Linked DNA regions of Sus scrofa. The protein of the gene in region 1 binds, or shares a complex with, the protein of each later gene. Links are inferred from orthologs where the notes say so. Each region holds a gene or a part of one and is shown in the gene's direction. Other genes may lie near its edges.

The links.
Region 2: SNRPG (region 1) and GEMIN2 share a complex: the UniProt entries of both Homo sapiens proteins name them as parts of the SMN-Sm complex. The link is inferred for Sus scrofa from reciprocal best matches to the Homo sapiens genes SNRPG and GEMIN2.
Region 3: SNRPG (region 1) and CWC22 share a complex: the UniProt entries of both Homo sapiens proteins name them as parts of the minor spliceosome. The link is inferred for Sus scrofa from reciprocal best matches to the Homo sapiens genes SNRPG and CWC22.
Region 4: SNRPG (region 1) and GPKOW share a complex: the UniProt entries of both Homo sapiens proteins name them as parts of the minor spliceosome. The link is inferred for Sus scrofa from reciprocal best matches to the Homo sapiens genes SNRPG and GPKOW.
Region 5: SNRPG (region 1) and GEMIN4 share a complex: the UniProt entries of both Homo sapiens proteins name them as parts of the SMN-Sm complex. The link is inferred for Sus scrofa from reciprocal best matches to the Homo sapiens genes SNRPG and GEMIN4.
Region 6: SNRPG (region 1) and PRPF6 share a complex: the UniProt entries of both Homo sapiens proteins name them as parts of the U4/U6-U5 tri-snRNP complex. The link is inferred for Sus scrofa from reciprocal best matches to the Homo sapiens genes SNRPG and PRPF6.
Region 7: SNRPG (region 1) and TXNL4A share a complex: the UniProt entries of both Homo sapiens proteins name them as parts of the U4/U6-U5 tri-snRNP complex. The link is inferred for Sus scrofa from reciprocal best matches to the Homo sapiens genes SNRPG and TXNL4A.

The regions. Positions count from the first base shown.
Region 1 is NC_010445.4:72,197,231-72,201,521, forward strand, and holds the start of SNRPG (small nuclear ribonucleoprotein G), read left to right. Parts: upstream 1-1,491; 5' UTR 1,492-1,613; coding exon 1,614-1,645; intron 1,646-4,291. UniProt on the Homo sapiens protein: Plays a role in pre-mRNA splicing as a core component of the spliceosomal U1, U2, U4 and U5 small nuclear ribonucleoproteins (snRNPs), the building blocks of the spliceosome.
Region 2 is NC_010443.5:169,674,660-169,678,951, forward strand, and holds the start of GEMIN2 (gem-associated protein 2), read left to right. Parts: upstream 1-1,492; 5' UTR 1,493-1,507; coding exon 1,508-1,677; intron 1,678-2,046; coding exon 2,047-2,131; intron 2,132-4,193; coding exon 4,194-4,283; intron 4,284-4,292. UniProt on the Homo sapiens protein: The SMN complex catalyzes the assembly of small nuclear ribonucleoproteins (snRNPs), the building blocks of the spliceosome, and thereby plays an important role in the splicing of cellular pre-mRNAs.
Region 3 is NC_010457.5:85,550,338-85,553,837, reverse strand, and holds part of CWC22 (pre-mRNA-splicing factor CWC22 homolog), read left to right. Parts: intron 1-1,601; coding exon 1,602-1,679; intron 1,680-2,293; coding exon 2,294-2,446; intron 2,447-3,500. UniProt on the Homo sapiens protein: Required for pre-mRNA splicing as component of the spliceosome. As a component of the minor spliceosome, involved in the splicing of U12-type introns in pre-mRNAs. Promotes exon-junction complex (EJC) assembly.
Region 4 is NC_010461.5:43,176,764-43,179,301, reverse strand, and holds the end of GPKOW (G patch domain and KOW motifs-containing protein), read left to right. Parts: intron 1-107; coding exon 108-231; intron 232-324; coding exon 325-394; intron 395-1,493; coding exon 1,494-1,579; intron 1,580-1,672; coding exon 1,673-1,807; 3' UTR 1,808-2,038; downstream 2,039-2,538. UniProt on the Homo sapiens protein: RNA-binding protein involved in pre-mRNA splicing. As a component of the minor spliceosome, involved in the splicing of U12-type introns in pre-mRNAs.
Region 5 is NC_010454.4:47,108,137-47,112,157, forward strand, and holds the start of GEMIN4 (gem-associated protein 4), read left to right. Parts: upstream 1-1,221; 5' UTR 1,222-1,477; coding exon 1,478-1,487; intron 1,488-1,493; exon of another isoform or gene 1,494-1,823; intron 1,824-3,758; coding exon 3,759-4,021. UniProt on the Homo sapiens protein: The SMN complex catalyzes the assembly of small nuclear ribonucleoproteins (snRNPs), the building blocks of the spliceosome, and thereby plays an important role in the splicing of cellular pre-mRNAs.
Region 6 is NC_010459.5:62,814,154-62,818,308, forward strand, and holds the start of PRPF6 (pre-mRNA-processing factor 6), read left to right. Parts: upstream 1-1,355; 5' UTR 1,356-1,520; coding exon 1,521-1,591; intron 1,592-2,773; exon of another isoform or gene 2,774-3,114; intron 3,115-3,200; coding exon 3,201-3,369; intron 3,370-4,155. UniProt on the Homo sapiens protein: Involved in pre-mRNA splicing as component of the U4/U6-U5 tri-snRNP complex, one of the building blocks of the spliceosome.
Region 7 is NC_010448.4:127,977,889-127,981,112, reverse strand, and holds part of TXNL4A (thioredoxin-like protein 4A), read left to right. Parts: intron 1-340; coding exon 341-444; intron 445-3,224. UniProt on the Homo sapiens protein: Plays a role in pre-mRNA splicing as component of the U5 snRNP and U4/U6-U5 tri-snRNP complexes that are involved in spliceosome assembly, and as component of the precatalytic spliceosome (spliceosome B complex).

The DNA.
Region 1 (4,291 bases):
GTTTATTTACAATGTTCTGTCAGTTTCTGCTGCCCAGTTGTACAACCAATGCTTTTCCGTTTTGGCCTAAGTCTTCTATAATCCCTATTGTTCTTGATTCATAAATGTGGGCTGCTCCTCTTTTGGGAAACTTAACTAGGATCAAATCAGACCATTTTTTACACCTTTCGACTTGAAAATCAATATTTTAGAAATCATCTGTGTGCTGCTCTTCATACTTTATATAGAGGGGCAAGGTACAGTTAAGTGGGGTTTTGGAAGCATTGCAGGACTGTCCGTGGGGAATATACTTATGACCTCTAGATTAAAATTTTTTTTTTTTTTTTTTTTTTTTTTGTCTTTTTGCTATTTCTTTGGGCCGCTCCCGCGGCATATGGAGGTTCCCAGGCTAGGGGTCGAATCGGAGCTGTTGCCACCGGCCTACGCCAGAGCCACAGCAACGCGGGATCCGAGCCATGTCTGCAACCTACACCACAGCTCACGGCAACGCCGGATCGTTAACCCACTGAGCAGGGGCAGGGACCGAACCCGCAACCTCACGGTTCCTAGTCGGATTCGTTAACCACTGCGCCACGACGGGAACTCCTCTAGATTAAAATTTTTGGAAACTGAGGCCCCCTCACTCTATTCCTTTGGTGCAGAGGTCGTTAACTGAGCTGTTACTAGAACCTTAGTTGTAGCATGACATCCTGTGGGAATACTAAAATACCACAGGTTCAACAGTGAAGCAAATACCTCAAAGCAAGTCACAAGATTTTTTTTTTCTTAGTGTGATTACCTATCATAGATCACCATAACGAATACAGTAATGAAAAAATTTGAAATACTGTAAGAATTATCAAAATGACACAGACACAAAGTGAACAAATGCTCTTGGGAAAATGGCGCTGGGAGATTTGCTGGACTCTGGGCTGCCTCAAACCTTCAATTTGCTAAATTAAAAAAAAAAAAAAAACGAGTTCCCGATGTGGCTCAGGGAGTTAAGAACCGGACTAGTATCCATGAGGATACTAGTTTGATTCCTGGCCTCGCTCAGTAGGTTAAGAATCCAGCGTTGCTTTGTCTATGGCAAAAGCCAGCAGCTGCAGCGCAGATTTGACCCACAGCCTGGGAACTTCCATATGCGGAGGGTTCGGTCCTAAAAAGACCAAAAAAAAAAAAACCGCAGTGTTTGCAGAGGACAACAAAGGGAAGAACAACACATGGAAGTATGCACACACATGCCAAAGAAATTTTTAGGAGCCTACCCCTCCAGAGCTTATTTTCATCTGGTAGCGTCAAGACAACTTTGCAACCCACAAAGACAATGAGTTAACCAGCGTCCTTCAAATGCTAGAGGCAGGAACAGCAACCCAATTACAAAGAGGAATATAAAGACTGGAGGCCCCACCCCTCCGCTCTAGCCAATCCCTGGCGACACAACGGAAGCTTGGGACTGATCTGCGAGCTCAGGATTTTCCTAAGTATCGCGACGTGAAACGTGAAAGCGGCCAACAATCAATTGGCTAACGGGATCAGTGACGTCAGACGCAAAGCACCGGGCCTACCGCTGGAGCGTGAGGGAGAACACGAATTCCGTTTGGAGGTTTCTTTGAGTTCGCGGAGTAGGCATCATGAGCAAAGCTCACCCGCCGGAGTTGAAGAAGTAAGTATGCATGAGGGCCGCGCATAAATGGCGGCTTCTTTGTAGGCCTTGAGTTCCTTGGATCCCCAGCCATTTCCGGAGAGTGTGTCTGCCGTGCTTATTGCCACTGGCTGCCGCCGCGATCCGGGCCACCGTCCCACGTTTCCGGGCCTGCATCCCGCGCAAATGTTGTATTTCGGCCTGGTGGGCATGCTTTTCAAAGACGTAAAGGCCCCTCCGTCTGCAGGTTTGCCTCCCAGGCCGGAGTTCCTGGCCGGGTCTCTGGCACTCGATCCTTCGTTACTTAAAGATCTTGAATACCACAGTTAGCTGAACGCCTTGAGTAGCATCACGTTCGAGATAAGGTGGTTGGACAGTAATTCTGTAAGGAACTAAGGAGGTGGATGGAATGGAATTGTTTTGATGGTATATGAGAAATTCAAAAGCTGCCTTCATCTTAGTGTGTTGGTGGTTCCTTTGAGCTTTAACTTAGAAATCCCGTTCTTGGGAGTTCCCGTCGTGGCGCAGTGGTTAACGAATCCGATTAGAAACCATGAGGTGGCGGGTTCGGTCCCTGCCCTTGCTCAGTGGGTTAAGGATCCGGCGTTGCCGTGAGCTGTGGTGTAGGTTGCAGACTCGGCTCGGATCCCGCGTTTCTGTGGCTCTGGTGTAGGCCAGTGGCTACAGCTCCGATTCAGCCCCTAGCCTGGGAACCTCCATATGCCGCGGGAGCGGCCCAAAGAAATAGCAAAAAGACAAAAAAAAAAAAAGAAATCCCGTTCTTTTTTCTTAATTTCTTGCACTTAGGTTGAACTTGAATGTGTGATATTTTGCTCTGTTAACTGGAATGCGTGAGAACATTCATTTTTCTCTAATTAGAGAAGGCTCTTTTGTTGGGGGGGTGTTCTTGGTAAGATTTCCTTTTTGATTCTTAAGATATTAATGAGAGTTTTTAATTACCTTTCTTTTCTTATATGTAGATTTCAATAATTGTGAGATCCTGCCAGGTCTACCTCCAAAATGACTTTTAACTTTTTCTTCCTTACCATCTTTTTTTGGAGTTCCCTCGTGGCTCAGCCGGTTAAGGATCCAACATGGCACTGCTGTGGTTCAAGTTCAGTCCCTAGCCCAGGAACTTCCGCATGCCACCCACGAGGCCCGAAATCTTTTTTTTTTTTTGCATTTTTATATCTTCCGTCTGCTTTTAATATAATTCTGTGGTTCTTAACTGTGGTGTAGAGAGTCTGGTTCTACCAGCATTTAGTAGGTAGAGGCCAGGGTTCCTGCTAAATATTCTACAGTGCACTGGACATCACTCAACAACAGAATTATCTGGTCCCAGATGTCAGTATGCCAAGGTTGAGATACCCTGGCCCAATCATATTCTTCCTACCCCTCTTAAAAATCATTGCCAAAGTAGTCTTTTTTTTCCCCCAGTTTTTTTGAGATAAAATTGACCTACAGCACTACGTAAGTTCAAGATGTACAGCGTAATGGATTGATTTACACATGCTTCAGTAATCTTAGCCATGCCTGATACTGCTGCAGTAACTTATTGCCATCTGCATAATAAAGTCCAGACTTCTTGAACCAGCAGTAACGCTCCTCCATTTGAAATCCAAGCACCAAATATTACACACGCTAATATTTGAGTACCATGTTCTTGGGCCAAACTGAACCATTTGATTTTGCTCAAACTTTTTCACTGCTGAGTGACTTTGGAAATTTTACTTAACCTTTCTGGGCCTTGGTTCCCCATCTGTTAATTGGTGGTAATAACAATGCATAACTTAAAAAGCTTTCATAAGGATTAAATAAAATAAGTTCATATGTGTTATATTTGTGTTTTTTTATAACATCCTAGTAAAATTGATTGTTTTACATGTCATACTATATATTTTTATTTGTAAAAACCTGTCTTCTTACACCTTCTTCAGGCCTCATGTCTTATTTATCTTTGAATTCTCCATGATATACATTAAAATTGAATGAAGTTTCATATTTTCTAGCCTACAGCAAAGAGGTAAAAACTGGTTTGACTTGTTGGCTTCATATTCTTTTTGTCTTTAGGGCTGCACGCACGGCATATGGAGGTTCACAGGTGGGGGGTCGAATGGGAGCTGTAGCTGTAGCCCCTGGCCTAAACCACAGCCACACCAGATCGGAGCTGTGTCTGTGAGCTACACCACAACTCATGGCAATGCCAGATCCTTAACCACTGAGTGAGGTCAGGGTCCAACCTGCATCCTCATGGATACTCGTTAGATTCACTTCTGCTGAGCCATGACGGGAACGCCCTTGGCTTCATATTCTCATACTACCCTGCTGATATGGAATTTTGTTGCTTAATTCAAATTATTTAAAATTTCAATATGCATTTATTTTGCTAAAGTATACTTGGGTGTTGGAGAATATCCTGAACATTTAAGATTGTTGCTTAATATTAAATAAAACACTATGTATTGTCTCAAATATAAAATAAAATATCCATTGGATTGGATATGGTTTGATTACCTTCTGATTTCTTCACAACTTTGTTTGGTTTTTAAAATAACCAAAATATAACAAAATCTTTGTTTTTCTGTTTTGGTCGTAAGATTCTGTCATTGAATATTGGGTCGGGGAGTTCCTATAGTGGCTCAGTGGGTTTAGACCCTGACTAGCATC
Region 2 (4,292 bases), on another chromosome or scaffold:
TGGCTCTGGCGTAGGCCGGCGGCTATAGCTCCAACTAGACCCCTAGCCTGGGAACCTCCATATGCCGCGGGAGCGGCCCAAGAAATGGCAAAAAAAAAAAAAAAAAAAAAAAAAAAAAAAAAACCAAATTACTCCTATGATCATTATTTCTTCAGACTGGCATTTTTTACAATGCCAGAGAATATTAAAAAGAGAGAGAGAGAAAGAGGTCCTGTGGTCAAAAACACCAGTAAAATTATGTACAATAGGTATCTTGACTTGTCAAGAGTTTTAATATGCTAATATTCATTGTGAATCTTTAAGAGTGGCATTTGCATACATTTCCCAAAGATATTTGACCTTGGAACTTTTTTCCAGGGACCATCTGGGGGCAAGTATTCTGAACATTATTCAGTCATTAATTAATCACTTGTTAATGTGTAACAGCCAGTATTTTCCTTCCTACTTTTGAACCCACAGAGATTTCCAAATTGGAGATTCCAGCAGTAGGTAAAATATGGTAACACAAATTTCTGGGAATTTTACATGGTCACCACTAGATGGCGGTTTCACCTCTACTTTTTCTTTTTTGTTTACTCTATAAACGAGGCACTTATTTTTTCTAACGTGGATTCTCTTCCATTTGTTCAGATGGTGACATTATAAAGCACTGGCCAACTATTTTTGAACTACTCACTAGAAAAAGTAATATTCAGCATCATATATGTTCTACTCTGCATGCCCTAAGACTACAATAATATCAGGTATAGTTAATAAAGCTAATTAATAAATTACACATTAGAGTTAATAGAATTCCAAACTCAAATAGACCTTAATGATAATTTGGTCCAATCCCTGTAAATAACAAATGAACGTGAGCATAAGAGTTTAAGTAGCACATACCAGGTCAAGGTGCTGATGGCCATTTAAAATTACAACACGGTTGATTTCATGCCTGTCTTTTCTTCTTTAAATGCTGACAAGACTTGTCACTAAAACTGCTAGCTTTTGTTCAAACAGCAATTGCTTCTATTCCATGGAAGAGTTCCCCTGTGGGGCAGCTGGTTAAAACTCCTACGTTGTCACTGCAGCGGCTTGGGTCACATCTGTGGCGCTTGTTCAATCCCTGGCAGGGGAGCATGCCACAGGCCTAGCCAAGAAAAGAAAGAAGAAATGCATGTGATGTGTCTACCAGAGACTTAAGAATTTAGAGCTCAACAAGTGATAATTACAGTAATCTGCTCATTAATTTAAAAACATTTAAAGTTCCCTCACTACTGTGGATGCATAAAATAATCTTCAGTATTTACTTAGGAGAGTAAAGAAGGAACCCCCCTTAAACACTTCAGAACCACTAGTACCAGGAACTAAATTCCTGGTCTTCATTATTCCACCCGAGCCTTAACCTTAGGACAACCAGCGAGTTAGCTCATGCGCAGCTTCGCCCCCTAAACCCAGCCTCTTGCCCATCTCCGCGCCAAAGGCGCCCGCCCACTTGTGCGCCTGCGCTGTGACCTAGACTTGGCGCATGCGCCGGGCAGGACGGGCCGGATTGAAAACTATGGCGTGGGTACCTGCAGAGGCTGCGGTGGAAGAGTTGATGCCCCAGCTGTTGCCAGTGGAGCCCTGCGACTTGACAGAAGGTTTCGATCCCAGCGTACCTCCGAGGACTCCTCAGGAATACCTGAGGCGGGTCCAGTGAGTGATTAGACCCTGTGCGGTGGGCTGGTGGTTCTCCCTGCGCACAGCGCCCAGTGCCTCGCCCCACCACCAAATTTGATAAAGCCCTGTCTCTGATCCCGTCTCCAGTTTAGGACCGGATCAAGATCCCTTCATTGCATCTATGAACTTAATTTTGCTAAACGTGATTACTCGTGAGAAGATAACGTGAACTTAAATTTCTTTGCTTTCAGTCCAGATAATTTCAGAAATATATCGTTTAGTACCTCAATTGCAATTCTGAACTTTTTTTTTCTGATTTTGTAATGAACTGTAGAAGTGGATCGCTTGTTTTAATGCGCATGAACAACAGTAATCACGTTTCTTGCATTTATTATTTGTTTGTAGGATCGAAGCAGCTCAATGTCCAGATGTTGTGGTAGCTCAAATTGACCCAAAGAAGTTGAAAAGGAAGCAAAGTGTAAATGTTTCTGTGAGTTTTATTACCCGTCAGGGGATTTCCCACTCCCAACTACAAATTAAAAGACCAAGGCTCTTAGTATAGTATCAGATAGTATCAGGCAGTATCAGTTAAGATTTGACTACTCTGTAGTAAGTTAGTAAATTAGACATTTGCTTGTACTTTGTCCCCTAAAAGGACAGATTCCATTTACTGCTTCCATAGAGGCTTTTGGTAACCCTAGCATTCATGGAGATTTGCTCATAATACTTTAAGAAGATGATCAAATCCTAAAGGAGGCTTTAAATAAGTTACTTACGCTATCCTTTATTTTTAAGGTATCTTTTTGCACTTCTTCATAATTATTATTGGGCTGATATTTAACTTTAATGTAGTTTGCATGTTCTGAATTTGACTGGCTTTTGTTTTTTAAAAATTTGAAATCAAAATATCTTACACTTTTCTAGGTATTTTGCCACTGTAAACCTTTTCATTTGTTTATCCAGCACACTTTTTACAAAGCAACTCTGTTGTGCTAGACACTGGAAATACAACAGAGGATGAAACAAAAAATATGTCCCTACCCTTGTAGAGTTTACATTCTCCTGAGAAAGAAGAAAAGCAAACAATTTAATTGCGTATTTTGACTCTTGCTGTGAAGAAAGTTAACATAATGACCAATAAGTAACAGGGATTAGCAGCAGAAGGTCTCCTTAAGGAGGTGCTATTTAACCCACAGTGGAAGGAGAGGATTCAATTTGTTTTTAAATTGTAATAATTCCTTTTCCTTTTATGTTCTAAGTAATTCCTTTATCTCATGTTTATAATCAGGAGATTTTAATTCAGACACTATAGTTTTCATGTAATTCCTTTTCAGAAGTTTTTAGTTGCTGGAAGATGATACCTTATATATCTGGCTTTTAAAAAATGACCATACTAGGAGTTCCCATTGTGGCTCAGTGGTAACAGACCTGACTAGGAGGTCATGGGTTCAATCCCTGACCTAGCTCAGTGGGTTAAAGGATCTGGCATTGCTGTGAGTTGTGGTCTATGTCACATATGTGGCTTGGATTCAGCATTGCTGTGCCTGTGGGGTAGGCCAGCAGCTACAGCTCCAGTTTGACCCCTAACATGGGACCTTCCATATGCCATGGATGCAGGCCTAAAAAGACAAAAAAAAAAAAAAAAAAAAAAAAAAGACCATACTAAGTTTTATTTCAAGGCAATATGTGATCATTTATCACCTATGTGCTATTTTGGGAAACAGAAGTAGACCTTGTAAAGTCAAAAGTCTTAAATTACTTGAGTACATTCTACTCATACCAAGATTCTTTTTTTGGAATATATCTCTCTTTTTGTTTCAGACTGTTTTGCTGTTATAGAAAAGTAGGGCTAGATTATATCTTCAGGGCTCGTATGATTTGTTTTTTTTTTTTTTTTTTTTTTTTTGTCTGTTTTAGGGCTGCACCCGCAGCATATAGAGGTTCCCAGGCTAGGGGTCCAATCGGAGCTGTAGTTGCCAGCCTTTGCCACAGCCACAGTAGAAAGTAGTATTCCTACTTTTATTAGCTCAGACATAATTTTAAGCTCTTTAGTAGATATGTTATTGATGGACTAGTAGATAAAAGAGGGTGTTGGGGGAGGCTAGGGGTCCAATCAGAGCTGTAGTTGCCAACCTACACCACAGCTCACGGCAATGCTGGATCCTTAACCCACTGTGCAAGGCCAGGGATCAAACCCACAAGCTCATGGATGCTCGTCAGGTTCATTAACCACTGAGCCACGACTGGAACTCTTGGATTTCTTAATACATATAATATATACATAAATATATAAACTATAAGCCATTCCATATTGCTCTTACTAAAGTGATCATATAAGGGGTCTTTTCCTAATGTCTTATGTCTCAGACATAAATAGTAAAGAGAATTCCCTTTTTTACATCTGAAAAAAAATTTATAGAAATTTATTTCTTGTGTAGTCTTATTTGCTTTATTATTCATTTTTCGTCTTGATTCTGCTTTTACTTTGCAGAAGCATGAGATTCTAGTTATAACACTAACATTGATTCTGACATTTATGAACTGATCTCTAGCTTTCAGGATGCCAACCTGCGCCTGAAGGATATTCCCCTACACTTCAGTGGCAACAACAACAGGTGGCACAGTTTTCAACTGTTCGGCAGGTAAGTGTA
Region 3 (3,500 bases), on another chromosome or scaffold:
ACAGTTCTAGAATGTCTATTCTGTATTTTTCCATAATATCTTTGTTACAAAGATGTATGCGATAAATAAACATTGACCTAATTTTTAAAAATTTGCAATAGTTACTTAAGTTGTATCTCATGTTATTAAGTGACAAAGATGTCAAAATTTGTAGTTAAAAATATGAAAGTAAAATTAAAAGTAAAAATGAACTGAAATGATATACATTATATTTTATAGATTTCTATTTGTAAAAAGCACAAATAAATTGCAGTTACTGTATTTAGAAAAAATAATTTTAAACTTTTGATAAGAAATGTTTTGTAGAAAAAGATATTTAGTCAAGTCTACAGATATTTAGTGGTCAGAGAATGAATTTGTGCCTTTTTTTAGTTTTGTTTCCATTGATTTGTTCATATGTCTGAGTTTCCTCATCTATGAAATTGCTATAATCAATACATATTTCATTAGGATTATTTCAGGAATTAGTAAATAATATTAAGTGTAAATCATTTGTGATGATGGTATTTCCTAATCTTGGATTTATTCTTGCACTTCTTAGGTCAATAGAATTTTCACAAAGTAATTTTTTCAAAGCACATAAATAACTGATTAGACATTGTGTTATAACAGGAGTTTAATGACTCCATCTCTTTGTATAGATCCATCTATTGACAGATCTATATTCATAACATTTATTTTGTTCTTTTAAATATATTTTCTTCTTTATCATCCAGAGGGTCATTTAACTCAGCATTGAAGTTGTGTCCATTTATGCCTCTGTAAAGACTCATTATGATCTGTCTTTTCCATACTAACAAAATATATTCATTAATAATTGGGTTTAAATCTTCAAAAGGTGTATAACTGAATTGTTAGATGTCATATTGTTAATCTGTATTTAAAAGACATATTTATAAAATCTTTTTACTTTTGTTTTATTTATTTACATAATTAACTTATTTTTGGAGGCCCTACTGGGATAGAATCTTTTTAGAATACAGTATATTTAGTCTCTTTTTGGTGTATCTCTTTCATATACGAGGTTTTCTTGAAGTAGTTCATGCTTATACAAATTTAGAATTTTTTTGTTTTTTTGTTTTTTTGTCCTTTTTTGCTATTTCTTGGGCCGCTCCCGCGGCACATGGAGGTTCCTAGGCTAGGGGTCGAATCGGAGCTGTAGCCACAGGCCTACGCCAGAGCCACAGCAACGTGGGATCCGAGCCACGTCTGTGACCTACATCACAGCTCACGGCAACGCCGGATCGTTAACCCACTGAACAAGGGCAGGGACCGAACCCACAACCTCATGGTTCCTAGTCGGATTCGTTAACCACTGCGCCACAATGGGAACTCCAAATTTAGAATTTTATAATTGATGTAATTAGCATAGATGACTGAAATTTCTGTCAGCCAAACAGAAGCCTTTAAAAGACTATAGCCTTGACATAGATTGATTTTTTTTATTTTGTCCTCATAACTAAAGTTCATAAAGTTGTGGAAGTTTTGTGTTTTGAAAACCTTACTTTAAAGTTCAGGCTATCTCTGTCATATTGATAAATTATTATACAGCATGGATTCATTGTGCTTTGAATCATTAATGTAATTTTTTTTCCAAATAGAAAGAACTCTGCAACATGATACTTGATTGCTGTGCCCAACAGAGGACATATGAGAAATTTTTTGGCTTATTAGCTGGGGTGAGTTCCAACATCATTTTTCTTGTTGGATTGTGATGAAATCACAAAGGGAATTCTTAACATGAGTGTTGTGAATTAATGTGTCTGCTTTATGGTCTAGTCTAATGTAATAACATATCTTTCCTGAAAACAAATTGTTCACCCCTCAGGTTCCCCACTCTCTGCAGCTTCCTCCTGTCCCACTTTATTTTTGTAGTGCCGTAACATTACATATCACTCTTCCAGGGCTTTGGGAAATTCCACATGCTTTTTGACAGTTTCCCAAAGAGAACAATTAAATGCTGTCTTTTCACAATTTCACAGCAGTTTCTGAAGTCAAGTACATGTTCAGGCAGCACAGTAAAGGATGAGCTAAAATACTTTTTAGAATCCAAACTCTACTCACAGAGAAGTTTATTTTATGCAAATGTGTATGTCTGTGATCGGCTACATGTATAATTTTGTTTTAGCATATAAACCCCAAGTACCTAGGGATAATACGTATTATCTTACTTTTTGAGCATCCCATTATACAGCACAAAAAGGTTATATGATATACAAAATATTGATTATCTTTTGATTGAATAAATCTAGAAGGCTTTAATAATGGTATTGACTTTTTCTTAATTTATTAGCGATTTTGTATGCTAAAAAAAGAATACATGGAATCCTTCGAAAGTATATTCAAAGAACAATATGATACCATCCATCGCTTGGAAACAAACAAATTGAGAAATGTTGCTAAGATGTTTGCTCACCTTTTATATACTGATTCACTTCCTTGGAGCGTAAGTAGATGGGTCAATATATTTGTTCTTCTTGGCTAATCCCCTGTTATTCTGAAATAGATTAAGTATAACATAGCCATACTTTTCCTATGTAGGAAACATACTTTTAAATGAGATGTGTAGCAAACTTTTACTATAATGGCTGTCTTTCAGGTTATATTAATGTGACATGGGATCATCAGCTAAGTAAATAATATATGAGTGTAAGAAATATCACTGTGAATGATATTAACAACCCAAAATCACAGTGTTTTTTAATAGTGATGGCTGGGAGCATTTTCATCTTCTCTGTGTACACATATGGGCACACACACCCATATTCACATATACCAGTTGTTTGGTGGCATATGAGCCTCTCAGTAACTGCCGTTTCGTGAGGGAGTAGCTATCAGCAGTCTCTCTAGTAGGGACGTGAGACGTGATTATTCTGTCAGGATGTATTTTTCGTAGCATCCGTTAAAGTTGAATAAGTGATAGGGAGAAGATCCCATAGTCATAATTAGAACAAGGAAAGGTATTCTTGATGGGAAAATGTACACTGTGTTAGAATTTGAACTTCACTCATTAAGTTGGCACTTAATTGTACAGCTACTGTTCATTCAACAACCATTTGTTTAGTCACCAACTCTTTGCCTAACTGAGTGTCCAGAAGAATTTTATATGATTCTTATTTCAAGGATCTTAGTACTATGTCAGAGAAGAGATAAGATGCCTGTAGTAATAAGACAAAATAAAACCTGATAGGTTATAAGAAAAACAAAGTTACTGAAGGAATTGAAAAAAAAAAGAAAAGAAAATTATATACAAGAAGAAAGAAAAAAGGGGATCATATTTTAGAATACCATAATCCTGTGGTAGAATGAAGCAACATCATTGAGCTTGTAATCATTGGGTGAATTTTTGTAATACTAAGTGCTAAGTGTGCCCAGCTACTTTAATATGCATTTATAAGCTGACCCAAGAGGTATAATAATTTTTTACTTCTTTTTTTCCCTTTTCTCTGGGAAAAAGGGAGTAAAAAATTTTCAACAAATGAAACAAATGAGCTAGTGGA
Region 4 (2,538 bases), on another chromosome or scaffold:
TAGCAACGGCATCATGGGTGGGTTTCATAGCATCGGCAAAGGTGGGGCAACTGGAACATCCGTGCCTCTGGTGGAGAGCTAAGTCTGGTGTTGGCCCCTCCCCACAGACCAGATGGGCCTGCAGCCAAGAGTGAGAAAGCAGCCCCCAGGAGCCAGCACTGGCTGCACAGGGACCTGCGCGTGCGGTTTGTGGACAAGCAGCACAAGGGTGGCCAGTATTACAATACCAAGGTGGGAGCCCCGCACCTGCGTCTGCTTCCTCCTCCAGGGACTCGGCCCCCTTAGCTGTCTGACTTCCTCATGTATCCCCGACCCTCTCCCCAGATGACAATTGAAGATGTCCTGAGCCCAGATACCTGTGTGTGTCGGACAGATGAGGGCCAGGTCCTAGAAGGTGAGTTTTAGGGATGGCCATTGGGTCATTATCATCCTGGAGGCTGATTCAGAGGGCCATCTTAGGCAAGCGTGGCCCTGGCAAAGGCTGGGAGGTTGGGCAGAGTTTGTTTTGTTTTGTTTTGGTCTTTTTAGGGCCGCACCTGTGGTATATGGAGCTTCCAGGCTAGGGGTCAAATTGGACCTATAGCTGCCAGCCTACATCACAGCCACAGCAACACGGGAACCGAGCTGCGTCTGTGCCCTACGCCACAGCTCGTGGCAATGCTGCATCCCCAACTCACTGAGCGAGGCCAGGGATTGAACCCGAGTCCTCATGGATACTAGTCGGGTTTGTTAACCACTGAGCCACAACGGGAACTGCCACAGTTCGTTTTTGTTTTTTTTTTTTTTTTTTTTTTTTGCAAGCCTCAGCATCCTCTAACACAACCCTAGATGCTTCTGTGATGGTGACTATCTGAGCCCCACTTTCCCCGTCGGTAATATTAACATGGAGATAACCTGTTTCTCCCTCTTGTGCCGGTGCCTTGTCGGGAAATGTCTTGGGCTCCCCGTGCAGGGCAGGTCATACAATGTGCCCTCAATAAATGGTGTCTGTGATCACCCCCAACCATCATCATCAGAGATAAATTCTCCCTTTATTAGAACTATTGCCAGAATCTGCTCCTTAGGTTTTGTCACCTGTGAAATGAATGTGGGAGACTCCTATCTGTCGACAGGTACAGAGCGGCTCCAGGGAATACAGGAAAGGCCCTTCTTTTTTTGGTTTTTTTTTTTTTTTTTTTTTTGGCTTTTTCTAGGGCCACTCTCACACCATATGGAGGTTCCAAGGCTAGGGGTCCAATCGGAGCAGTTGCTGCTGGCCAACGCCACAGCAACGCGGGATCCGAGCTTCGTCTGCAACCCACACAACAGCTCACGGCAACACCGGATCCTTCACCCACTGAGCAGGGCCAGGGATCGAACCCGCAACCTCACGGTTCCTAGTTGGATTCGTTAACCACTGTGCCACAACGGGAACTCCAAGAAAGGCCCTTCTGACAGGACCTTGGCTGGGCTGGCCCTTGCTGTGGGCTTCACTCCCCTCTCCTTGTCTGCAGGCCTGAGGGAAGACATGCTGGAGACCCTGGTCCCCAAGGTCGAGGGCCACCGGGTGATGGTGGTGCTGGGGCCACGGGCTGGAAGGGTGAGTCCCAGACCGGGGAATGGGGGTGGGGGTGTGCACGCAATGTCCCAGAGTCTGGGTTGGCCTTGCTGACCCCACCTGCCCCGACCCTAGGTGGGCCGTCTGCTGGAACGGGACAGAGAGCGGAGCCGGGCGCTGGTGCAGCTGCGGAGAGAAAATCAGGTGGTGGAGCTTCACTATGATGCCATCTGCCAGTATGTGGGCCCCAGCGACTCGGATGAAGACTGACCTGTGGACACACTCCCATCTGCTGGCTCTTACCAACCCCGTACAGTGTGAAAAGCCAGCTTTCGCGAAGGTGGGGAGGTCATGATTCAGCCCTCCACTTTCAGTGCAGCCCTGGGGCAGGGACAGGGCACAGCTGGATGGACCAGAAGGGAGACTAGAAACAAACCCAGTGTTTACCATAAGTTAGTATGTATATAATAAAAAAACAACTCAAAGACTTGGTAAAATGAACAGATCGAAAGTGGTATACTGAGCTATGAATGGAGATGTTAGCACCACTTTGCAGAGCAGCCAGGAATCCCAGGGTCCCCGTTTGTCCCAAAAGTCCCAAAACTTTGGTTTGAAGGTAAAAATGTTTTGTCTTGTCTCGGGTGGAATTTCTCTGGTTGCTCCAGGTAACTGGATTCTCAAAAAGGTTATTGTCAACCTTTGTCAGAGATTCCTTTTCCCTGTTAAATGGCCTAAGATACAAAATCAACAAGGGAAGAAAAAAAAAAATCAAAGGAAGGCAGAGCTTTAGGCACAGCTGTTTCTAAATCATCCTCAATCACTAAATCAATGACGTAATTAGTGGTATTTAAGCTAGATCTAGTTTCTGGTATAAGGTCCTCATGCTTCAGAACACAGGCCAGTGGTGGAGAAATTTTTTCTTTCTTTCACTTTTTGAGTCCATATTTGCTGCATATTGATGTTCCCAGGCTAAGGATCAAATCAGAGCTATAGCTGCCAGC
Region 5 (4,021 bases), on another chromosome or scaffold:
TAGTTCCTAGTCGGATTCATTTCTGCTGCACTGCTACACGAACTCCCAAGATAGATTCTTTTTATACATGTTGGATATCTCCCCAGGACTCTCATAGTCGCTTTGAATTCATCAGTTTTCCAGCAGCAGACAATCACTCATGCAGTTTAAGTGATTTATTGATGTCTCAGCTCTGGTTTGTTAGGGTTTCAGGACATTTCCCCCAGCAAGGTCTTTTAAGAAGCCCCATTCCCTACCAGAGGAACCATGCTACTTCATTCTGTGTGACACTCTGTCCTCCCTAACCGGCTTCGTTTTTCTTCAGTTCTTCCACTTTGGCAACATAGAGCCTCATGGCGTCCATCTTGGACATCCCTTTGTTCCCATTCCATGCCTCCCACTTGGCCTTGGCTTTCACATCAGTGGCTGAAGGGGCAGGGATGTTGCAGTCGCCCTGAGTGGCTTGTTTGTAGAAGCTGTACACCAGCAATTTCTCCTTATCACTCACTGGCCCCTTCAACTGCTTGATGGCAGCGCAGGCCATCTCAAACTCCACTTGGCACATTGGGAGAGCTGAGGCTGGGCCCCTCTGTCTTTTCTAGATGTTATCTGGCGCTGGAAGCTGTTGGATGGAAAGTTAGAAACACTTGAGGTTGGTGATTAAGTCTGAGAAGGAGGGAAAGGGAGAAAGGGAGACAGGGCAATGTGTGGGAAGAACATAGAATACTTGTTTCCTCAGTGGGAAATCAAATGTGTTTTCATAGATTGCAAATCAGGCCCTATTGAATTAGATCTGCCCAAGTATTTTGGCTCATTTTATAAGGAGGAGGTCAATTCATTGACGTTTCAAAGGCGTCTTTGATGCCAGAAAATGATGGAGCAGCTATTGCTGTCTGAAGGCGGACTGCTGAGGGGCCAGGGGGTTCTGAGAGAGACCCTCTGCGGAGGAGGAAGCCTTTCAGGGCATGGTGCGCCTGTGCAAGTTAGTGGGCGGCTTGGGGAGGGGCGTTCAGTGAGGGTGAGCCGTGTGCGACAGATCAGCGGATAACTGCATGCGGGAGAACGCGGGGCTACGATGTAACTAGCGGGTGGGACTCACTAGGGCCCAGGGAGAAGGAGCCTGAGAGCACAGACGCTTGGCGAGGCGGAGCCAGGACTGGGAGGGGCGGGCGCCTTGGGGGCGGGGCCTGGGGAGAGGAAGGGGCGGGGCTCGCCGTGGGGACGGAAGCGTGGGTACTTGCCTGTTGGCTGCGTCGAGGGCTGGGGCCGATAGGGGGCGCTGTGGGCCTGGCGGTCCCGACGCCGCGGACACGCTGAGCGACAGAGGTCGGCGGAGAAACCGCGTGGAACCCGAGCTGAGACTGAGGGCGGGGGCCGACACGCGGCCCATTGTCCCGCCCCCCGGCGCCTGCCATTGTGCTGTGACGCCTGCGCCGCCCTTGCTCCCGGGCGGGAGAGGGGTGGCTCGCGCCGCCGCCAGGCCGCCAGCATCGCCGCCATGGACCTAGGTGGGTGTTTGGCTCCCCTGTCCCGGGCCCGCGAGAGCCGCGTCCCCCAACCGGCGACCACGCAGTGCTGAGCGGGTCCTGGCTGAGGGAGACCTCCGGGTCAGGGAGGGGTTTGAGAGGGCGGGGGTGTCCCGGAGACCGGGGTCGGAGCGGCCGGGCTCCAGCCCCGGCCCCGCGGCGTCTCGGCCCGCCTCTTGCCGACTGCGGGCCAAGCGGATGTGAAGTTAGCGTTCCCGGGAGCGGACGGGTTCGGGCACGTGCTTAGGAAAAGGTCGGGCGAGGAGGATGCCCCGGGGGATCCCTGATGCCCCGGCGGTTTCATTTATTGGACGTTTAGTAAGTTCCTGAACAAGTTTCTTACGGTCTTGAGGTCTTCATAGATAAAACGTGGTGACGATATCGTATCCGCCTCAGAGAGTTTGGGGAAGTTTTCACCGAGGTCGCTTGTGTACAGTGTCCGGTCGGGTACCTGGCGCAGAGCTAGCGTTTTTCACACCGGCAGTTGTGGGGACCGTTTGTAGCAGCGGAGGTGGCTCGTGCATCTGGATTCCTCAGAGTCAAAGTCTGGGAGCGGGGAGCTAGTCTAAATCGGCGGCTCCTTGCCCTGCCCCCCCCCCCCCCAACCTGGACGTGCTTTTAAGGGCATTAGACCAGGAGACTTCTGGGAGAGCTGGGGTGAGGCTTTCCAAGATGTGCCGGTATTGGGCTGTAGAGAAGCGTTCAGGTCGCTGTCCCCAGCAGCGGGGGAGGGTAGAGTAGGAAGAGTTTGGAGCCCTGCAGCTGTGGTGATCTGTCCCAGCCCCACCGCTTTGTAGTTCCCGCATCCTGGGCAGCTTGTTTCAGTCCTAAATGTTTCCACCTCCAAAACAGGAACGGTCTTCAAAAGGTTGAAGATTAAAAGAGATCTTAACACACCAACTAGCACAGTGCCTGGTACCGAGTAAGCCCTTAATATTAACATAAGGAGTGGGTGATCACAAGCACCAGTTAACCTGTAGTGAAAAAACAGTTTGGGATTTGCCCAGCCATTCACTGCTTCTGAGACTTACTCCTTCAGGTAGCACATGTACTTACTGTCTCTTGAAAGTTGGTCTCAGGACCAAACATCTCAGCTGAGCAGATAATGCAGTAAAATTACATTGACAGTCAGAAGGGAGCATATTTCGGGTCCCTGGGAGAGCAGCCTGAGCCAGAAAGAAGGGCCAGCAACCCCCAGGGAGACCCCTCAGCAGCCTAACCCTCCCCCAGGTCTGCCTCGGGCACTGGGCCCCAGGGTGGATTCCTTCACGGGTAGGTCACCTAGGAGTGCTGCTCCCTTAAGCAGAGTCTCCTGGAATCGAGATTCTCTCTGCTGACTCCCGGCCTGTGAAAGTGGGGAAGATGTGTTCTTGGGGGCATGAAGGACTGAGGAAGGGGCACTAGGGAAGGGGAGAGGGGTCGGGGGTGAGCCGTATTCATGCTCTTGATTTCGTTTCGGGGCCAGAGAAGATATACTTGAGAGAGACCCATGTCCTTTGCTTTTTCTGAGCTGGAGGAGGCAAAGAAGAGAGACAATTCATCGGGTCCTGCCAACAGTGGAGAGGTTTGAGGGAACCAGTGTTTAGTGAGCCCTTAATCAGGCTCTTTGTAGCCAGAGTCTGATTGTAGCTGTGTCTTACTTGACCCTCAGCAGCCCTGGGAGATGAGATCAGAAGCCAGTAGTGCCCAGGGCTTGACTGGCATGTCCTCTTTGGTCTTCGCAGTCCTAATGTGAAGTTGGTATTATCCCCACGTAAGCAGAAGGGCAGCTCAGAGAAGTATTTTGTCCAAGATCATACCACTTTTAAATGGCTGAGCTAGGATTTAAACCCATGTCTAATTAAACATCCCAAGATGTCTTCCTTGCTAAGTTCTTCAAGGCTCACTGGAGGAAGGACTTTTTTTTTAAGGGCCCCACCTGAGGCATATGCAGATTCCCAGCCTAGGGGTAGCCGCCAGCCTACACCACAGCCACAGCAATGCTGGATCCTTAACCCACTGAGCAAGGCCAGGGATCGAACCCGAGTCCTCATGGATACTAGTCAGGTTCGTTAACCACTGAGCCATGGCGGGAGCCCCTGCAGTGGCTCTTTGACCCCTTCTTCCCCCTCTCCTACTGGTTTCATTTAAACCCCTTATCTCTAAGGCGAATCACGACAGCCCCCGATTAAGTGCCGTCTTTCCCTCTGACCTCTGCTTGCTGTTCTGAACATTTTTACCACATTCCGTCCTGTTCGGCTTGTGTCTGTGCAGGACCTTTGAATATCTGTGAAGAAATGACTATTCTGCACGGGGGCTTCTTGCTGGCCGAGCAGCTCTTCCACCCCAAAGCTCTGGCAGAACTGACCAAGTCTGACTGGGAGCACGTCGGGCGGCCCATCGTGGAGGCTCTGAGGGAGATCTCCGCGGCCACGGCGCACTCCCAGCCCCTCGCCTGGAAGAAGAAGGCCCTGATCATCATCTGGGCCAAGGTTCTTCAGCCCTACCCCGCCACCCCTTCCGACACCGAAGCTCGG
Region 6 (4,155 bases), on another chromosome or scaffold:
AGTGCGCACCTGGGCGTGCAAGGACAAGGGACTCTGTGCACCGGCAGGAGATCCAGAGGTCTGCAGGAGCATCTGAGTCAGGGACATAAGAGTGCGTGTGTGGAGGGGAGAGGGTAGTGTACCTGCTCCGGGGAGCTTCTGTCCACTGGGGGCCAGGTCAAGGGCCAGACCTAACCCATTCTCCTATGTCAGTTTACTTATTCCTTTATTCACGTCATCTCCAGACCTCTCCAGTGGTCTCCCTGTCCAACGGGCACTCGTTTCCCCAGAGAAGTCAGTTCGACCCTTTCTTATTCCCCACAACACCGCAAACTTCTGGAGGACAGCAGGGTCTCTCCCCTCCCCTCTGGAGACCCAGAATCTGACTCAGCGTCCAGGGCGTGGTGCTGAAAGGGATTCGGCTGGGGGCAAGGAGGAGGGAGAAACTCTGAGAAGGCTGCAGCAGGCAGGAGAGCTATGTTTGCTCCAGGACCCCAGTGAGAAAGGTTAGGGTGGGCTGGGGGCTGCCTGGTCCAGCAGAAGGCTAAACATGTGGCCAGCTTTTTGCTTGCTTTGCCTAGAGCCTGAGGGCTCTCCCCAGGTGAATGTGGGGGCCAGAGGATGTCCCACAGCCACCTCAGCAAACGTGCACATGGACACACAGACATGTATGCCAAGGACGGTCATGCATATTCACCTAAAATATGAGCACAGGTGGCTTGACTTGCACCTGTGCCCACGGACACACGGAATTCACCCACATGCTGTGACCACTCATGCCCGCATACTAACTTGTCCTGGTGCATTTATTTATGCTCATCAATTAGCTCCCTAGGATCTGGGCTCCCACCCTCACCAGAAGCACCTGAATGTTCAGGGTATGGTGGGGGTGGGGGCCTGTACAGGTACCGGCGCTGCCGGATCGGGTCCAGAAATCTGAGCGCGGAGAGCCAGGGAAGCAGTCTGCACCCGGGGACACGCGATCACAACACATACACTCCGCATAAGCTCTACACAACTGGCTGGGTGTGCAGCCCCCGGAGCTGTGTTAGGCCCTGCCCCGGGGCCAGGGCGACTGGGCGGGGGGCAGGGAGGGCGGATCCGGGAGGCGGGGGACCCATAGGTCCTGCCCATACAGGCAGGTATCGGAAATGCATCGAGTACACGCAGTTAGCAGGGCCGCCCCGGCTCAAGGTTTGAGGTTCCCCCGTGTGCAGACTGCTAATCGAGGGCTAATCGAGGGTGACACCGCCCGCCCGCCCGCAGCTACACGAGCAGGCGCCCCCCGCGCATGCGCCTATCGCGTCTCGGTCTCGGAGTCAAGGAGCCGCCGGAAGCGGGCGGAAGTCGCCTTTAGGGAACTTCCGGTCGGGGCCGCCGAGGTGGGCGGGGATCTGTCGGTTCGCGCGCTCTGCTTCCGGGGCGCGGGTGACGCGGGCGCGCGAGCTCTTCCTGCGGCGGCGCTTCGGTCGTCTGTCGTCTTTGGCCTCCGGCCGCAGCCTCCGTCCTTTCCCTTCCCGGCCGTCGGCGTCACAGCCGCGATGAACAAGAAGAAGAAGCCGTTCTTGGGCATGCCCGCTCCGCTCGGCTACGTGCCCGGGCTGGGCCGGGGGTGAGGCCTGGGGCGGGCCGCGCGCTGGGGTGGAGCCCCGGGCGGGACCGTGGTCGCGTCGCGACTGCCCACACGTCTCAGTGAGGCGGCGGGTCGGGGCGGGGAGGACGAGAGCAGCGGTGGCGCAGGGTTGGCCAGGTCTTTGTGGGAAGAACGGCGTCCTGGGTTCGGACAGACCCGAGCGAGGCTGCCTCCCCAGGAGACGGGACACCGGGGCGCTCTGAGCCCGGTGTTTGTGCTGAGAGGCGGGTGGTAACGCCGTCTTGCGAGTGTGCAGTGCTTGTAGTTGAGCACCGTGGCTACTACCCCCCAGGCCAGGCATCGCCCCCCCCCAACCCCTGCCTTGAACGGGACTGATTCCCCCACCGTCCGGCCGGGGTCCTCTGTGTGCTCGCTCAGGGTTGCTCGTTCTTCCGCTGCGGTGTCGGTGGTCACAGTACTGCCTGTTCAGAGTCAGCTCTCCGCGGGCAGGGGTGGCATCTGTGAGGCTTGTGACTGGGTCCCCTAGATCAGATGACGGCCGTTTATTGCTGAGGAATTGAGCAGTTATTATCTTCTTTTGTGGTTTGATGACTGTCTTCAGTGTTGTTTTTGGGTTGCTTTTTCTTATTTCTGTGTGTATCTCTTGTAGATTTTTGGTTTGCAGTTACCGTGAAGTTTTGATATAGGAGTCTTTGTATACACAGGGTTGTTGTAAGCTGTTGGTCTCTTCATTGCCAGTGCATCCCCAGCATCCTGCCTTTGTACCCTCCTCTGCTCCCGATTTCTGGGTTTGGTGGCCTGTTTGTGTGTGGCTGACCTTCTCCCTTTCTCACGTGTTTGTCTTTGCCGGTGAGCCCCGTCACTCGTCATAGTTTTGTTTCTGGTTATGGTCTCCTTCTACCTAGAGAGGTTCCTTTAGTATTCGTTGTAAAGCTGGTTTAGTGGTGCTGAATTCTCTTAGCTTTTGCTTGCCTGTAAAGCTTTCGTTTCCTCCTTCAAATCTGAATGAGAGCCTTGCTGCGTAGAGGCTGCGGTCGGAGCTGTGTTGAAGCTAGGGAAGCTCCATGCAGGGGGGTAGCTTGCTTCCTAACGAGATGGGATGGGAGTCATGGTCTCAGGAGCATGGGTTCTGGGGGGAGACCCTGTAGAGCTTGGAGGCGGGTGGGAGGGAGAGGGAGGCCGAGCCAATGCCATGGTGCCTGGGACGGCACTGCCACCACCCGCTGAAACAGCCCAGAGCTGCCGCTGCAGGGCCGGTGCGGAAGGGGAGCTCTGCCTGGGCCGAGCTGCGTTGGAAGGCCCGGGTGGAGTGGGAGAGGGAGATGCCTAGCAGGTGTTGGGAATGGGAGGCTGGTGCCCTGGCGAAGCCCTCTCCCGGAGAACGGGGGTGGCAGGAGAGAGCCTTGGTAGCCTCCTCAGCTTCCTGTCCTGAAGCGGACGGACGGCGACGTTGGAGAGCACGGCTGTGTGGGGTTCCCTGCACACACGGCACTGTGGGGAGTTCACGGGATCTTTGGAGGTTTCCCAGAGCAGTTGGAAAAGTAGGTGTCATCAGGTGACGCCTGTGGAGGGAAAAGCACAGAAACAAGGCCACTCAGATAAGTGGGCGTCTTGGGGTCTCCTGCAGTGCCACTGGCTTCACCACCCGGTCAGACATTGGGCCTGCCCGGGATGCCAATGATCCCGTGGATGACCGCCACGCGCCCCCGGGCAAGAGGACCGTCGGGGACCAGATGAAGAAGAGCCAGGCCGCAGATGACGACGATGAGGATCTGAATGACACCAACTATGATGAGGTGACTGGGGCTCCCTGGCCAGTGTCCAGAAGGGCCGCCCAGCTTCAGCAGTGTGCTCTTGGCATCTGTGATGAGTGGCTTGGGGTGGCGGGTGCTCTTATGTCAGCTACTCGTGGGATAGTGCCAGCAGTGAGGGGCATGTGAAAAATGCAAACAACTGTGCACTTGATGCCTTTGCAAGTGTTAGAGTTGTTACACTGGCGTGTTGTCTTGGCTGGTCTCTTTTCTTTTTCTTTTTTTTGTCTCTTCTGTCCTTTTTAGGGCCACACCCACGGCATATGGAGGTTCCCAGGCTAGGCTTCGAATTGGAGCTGTAGCCGCCGGCCTACACCACAGCCACAGCAATGCCAGGTCCGAGCCGAGTCTGTGACCTATACCACAGCCCGCAGCAACGCCAGATCCTTAACCCACTGAGCAAGGCCAGGGATCGAACCCGCAACCTCATGGTTCCTAGTCAGATTCGTTTCCGCTGCGCCACGATGGGAACTCCTCTTTTTTTTTTTTTTAATGGCCCACTGCATATGGAAGTTTCTGGGCCAGAGATTGAATCCGAGCCGGCTGCAGCTCTTTTAACTCACTGTGTGGGGCAGGGGATCAAACATGCACTTGTTCAAAACCCGAGCAGCTGCAGTGAGAGGATTCTTAACTCACTGTGCCACAGTGGGGACTCCTTGGCTGATCTTTAATGATGAAAATTTTAAGTGGAATTGGTGGTAATCCTTGCTTTCTTTGGCTTTAGTGCTCATTCTCTTGGTTAATTGATGTTTGGTCAATGGAAGTTTTCTA
Region 7 (3,224 bases), on another chromosome or scaffold:
GCCGCTCCCGCGGCATATGGAGGTTCCCAGGCTAGGGGTTGAATCGGAGCTGTAGCCACCGGCCTACGCCAGAGCCACAGCAACGCGGGATCTGAGCCACGTCTGCAACCTACACCACAGCTCACGGCAACGCCGGATCGTTAACCCACTGAGCAAGGGCAGGGACCGAACCCGCATCCTCATGGTTCCTAGTCGGATTCGTTAACCACTGCGCCACGACGGGAACTCCCTATACACAAATTCTTTTTGTTTTTGTTTTTAAATGTGCTTTTATGGAATAAAAAATGATTTGTCATTTTACATTTTGTTTTTTTTTCTCCCCAACCTCTTTTCCTTTTAGGTTAAAAATTTTGCAGTTATTTATCTTGTGGATATCACAGAAGTACCTGACTTCAACAAAATGTATGAATTATATGATCCGTGTACTGTCATGTTTTTCTTCAGGTATGTTCTCTTAAAGTTGTTATTTAAATTGAATAGATGGTCTGGAAGTTTAATGTAATCAAGATATCTTTAGATTCTTTTCTTTAGGAGGAGGTCAGTTATGCACTCATATCATAATATGGTTTGTGTCACCAGGCAATCAGTGTGATCTTTTAAATAATTTTCAAAGTAGCAATTACAGATTTAGCATTTACAGTAACACATTACCCTTTTGAAATAACTGCCCAGAAAACTAAATGAAGTGTAATTAAGTGGAAGATGTTCTTATTGACATTTCAGATACCTTTAAGTATAATATGTTGATGAAAAAATGTTTAAAATAACTGACTTTTTAAATATGATATCAATGACTTTATTTAGTGTCCTTTTGTGATAGCCAGAAGGAAAACCTTTACTTAATTACTTTGCTTAGAAATACAAGATTATTTTATCAGCTGAAAAATTCTGTTGCTGGAGTTCCTTTTGTGGCCCAGTAGTAATGAACCCAACTGCAAGTTCAGTCCGTGGCCCAACTCATTGGGGTAAACATCTGGCGTTGCCATGAGCTGTGGTATAGGTCACGGACGTGACTTGGATCTGGCACTGCTTGTGGCTGCGGCATAGGCCAGTAGCTGTAGCTCCAGTTCTATCCCTGACCTCACTGTAGCTCCAGTTCTGTCCCTGGCCTGGGAACTTCCATGTGCTGTGGGTGCAGCCCTAAAAACAAAACAAGACAAAAACTCTTTTGTGGACTTTAATCAGTCAGTTACTGACTCAAGGAATAGAATTTCCCTAATCGCCTTAAATTAATTTGTATCCATGATTTACAAACTTTGCATGAAAGGAGAACATAGAGTGGCTACTGGTTAGGTACATGGGTGTCCAATGCAGATGCAAATACGTTTGATTGGGGTTTATAAAGTTAAGTAGCATCACAAGTGAAAAAAAATTCTCTTGTGGACATTTAATTTGGAAAGAATCACCATTTCACAGTTTTTACTTGTCAAAATTTCTTACTGTTGGAGTACCCATTGTGGCTTAGCAGAAATGAATCTGACTAGTTTACATGAGGATGCGGGTTCAATCCCTGGCCTCACTCAGTGGGTCAGGGATCTGGCATTGCCGTGAGCTGTAGTGTAGGTCACAGATGCAGCTGGAATCCTGCGTTGCTATGGCTATGGTGGTGTACGCCAGCAACTGTAGCTCCAATTCGATCCCTAGCCTGGGAACTTCCATATGTCTAGGGGGTGGCCCTAAAAAGAAAAAAAATTCTTAGTTTATTGTTACTACAAAAGTTAGTAAATAGCAACATAAACATTAGGCCATACTCCAGAGGTAGAGCTTCACAATTAGAGAAGTTCTGGGTAGAGTATATAGGGTGTAGATTAGCTTTCTGTTCTGTTTGACAGTGTGCCCAAACTTGGTGGCTGAAAACAACACCATTTATGAGCCCAAGGTCTGTAGGTCACAGTCCAGGCAGGCTCACTGGGTTCTGTCTTGGGGTCTCAAGGCCATAGTCACAGGCTGGGCTTTTAGCCAGGCAGTCAGTCAGGGGGGAATCTACTTGGCTCTTGGGGACTATTGGCTGAATCCAGTTTCCAGTTCTGGGTGGACATGGGAATGAGGTGTCTTTCCACCTGGGCCCCTCTGTGCTCCTAGAGGCCCCTCCAGCTTTGAAGCCCTCAACCAAGAGTTGAGTCATTTTTACACAGTTGCTCTAACTTCCTGTTCTGCTTTCAGAGGGCACACTTGATGGATTAGACTGTATAATTCTGGGGCATCTCCTTATTTTAAAGTCAACTGGTGGGTACTTGTAGGGATACCTGCAGAATTCCCTTTGAAGTGCAGTGTAACTGATCGGAGGCATGATGTCATCTCATAGTCCTGAGGATTAGAGCAGGAAATAGCAGAGGTTATTTTAGGATTCTGCCTACTGCAGTCTGCCCTTTGGCTCACAAAGATTCAGATCCCTCTCGTATGCAAAACTGAGTGTGGATGAGGCTTCTCTGGGTGACCCATTAAGCCCAGCTCCTGGACACTCTTTCTCTGTGGCCCCTCCCCAGGATACAGTGTGGGACAGGCATAGGGAACAGTCTGGGTTCACCAGGAGCAGGGCTTTGATGCAGGGCTAGGATCATCCTCTTGGTCCAATGCCTGCCCTCGGGAGGGTTCTCCCCAGCCTTTTCTGCCTTTTTCATGAATGGCATTTCAGCTGGCTTATTTTTCAGCCTGCTTCCTGCCAGCAGCATGAAGTTGTAGTGCTTCCCCTCGGCCTGAGCAGGTAGAGTCTGTCCTGGGTGCCAGAGCTTGCTGGTTGCTTCCTGGGAGAAGATCCTGTCCTTTGAACATTCTGACCTTTAGGTCTTTTCCAGGTTTCAGTAGGTTATGTGGCTTCTGTGTCAAGAGTTCAGCACCCATTTCTGGATTTCAGCATCTTTTGCTATTTGGAGAGGCTGAGAATTTGTTGTTGTTGTTGTTGACAGTTTTTACAACCAGTTTCTCTCTTCTTTTACTATAAGGCCTAGGAAACCAGGCAGTGCCTTCAAGACTTTACTTCTGTGTTCTCAGCTCTTATCCACATGCATCGCTTACAAGTGTCACAGACATTCTGCCACTGTGTAGCAAAGATCCCTTTCCTCCACTCCCTGGAACATGTCCCTAACTCCTTGCAAGTCCATATTTCTACTAACAGGCTATTTAAGGCAATCCAGGCCTTTTCTGTTATGCTTCTCAAAGTTCTCCAAAAGTCCTCCAGGTGGGAATATGGGTGCCGCCTTAGATCCTGCTTCTCACTGCATGTG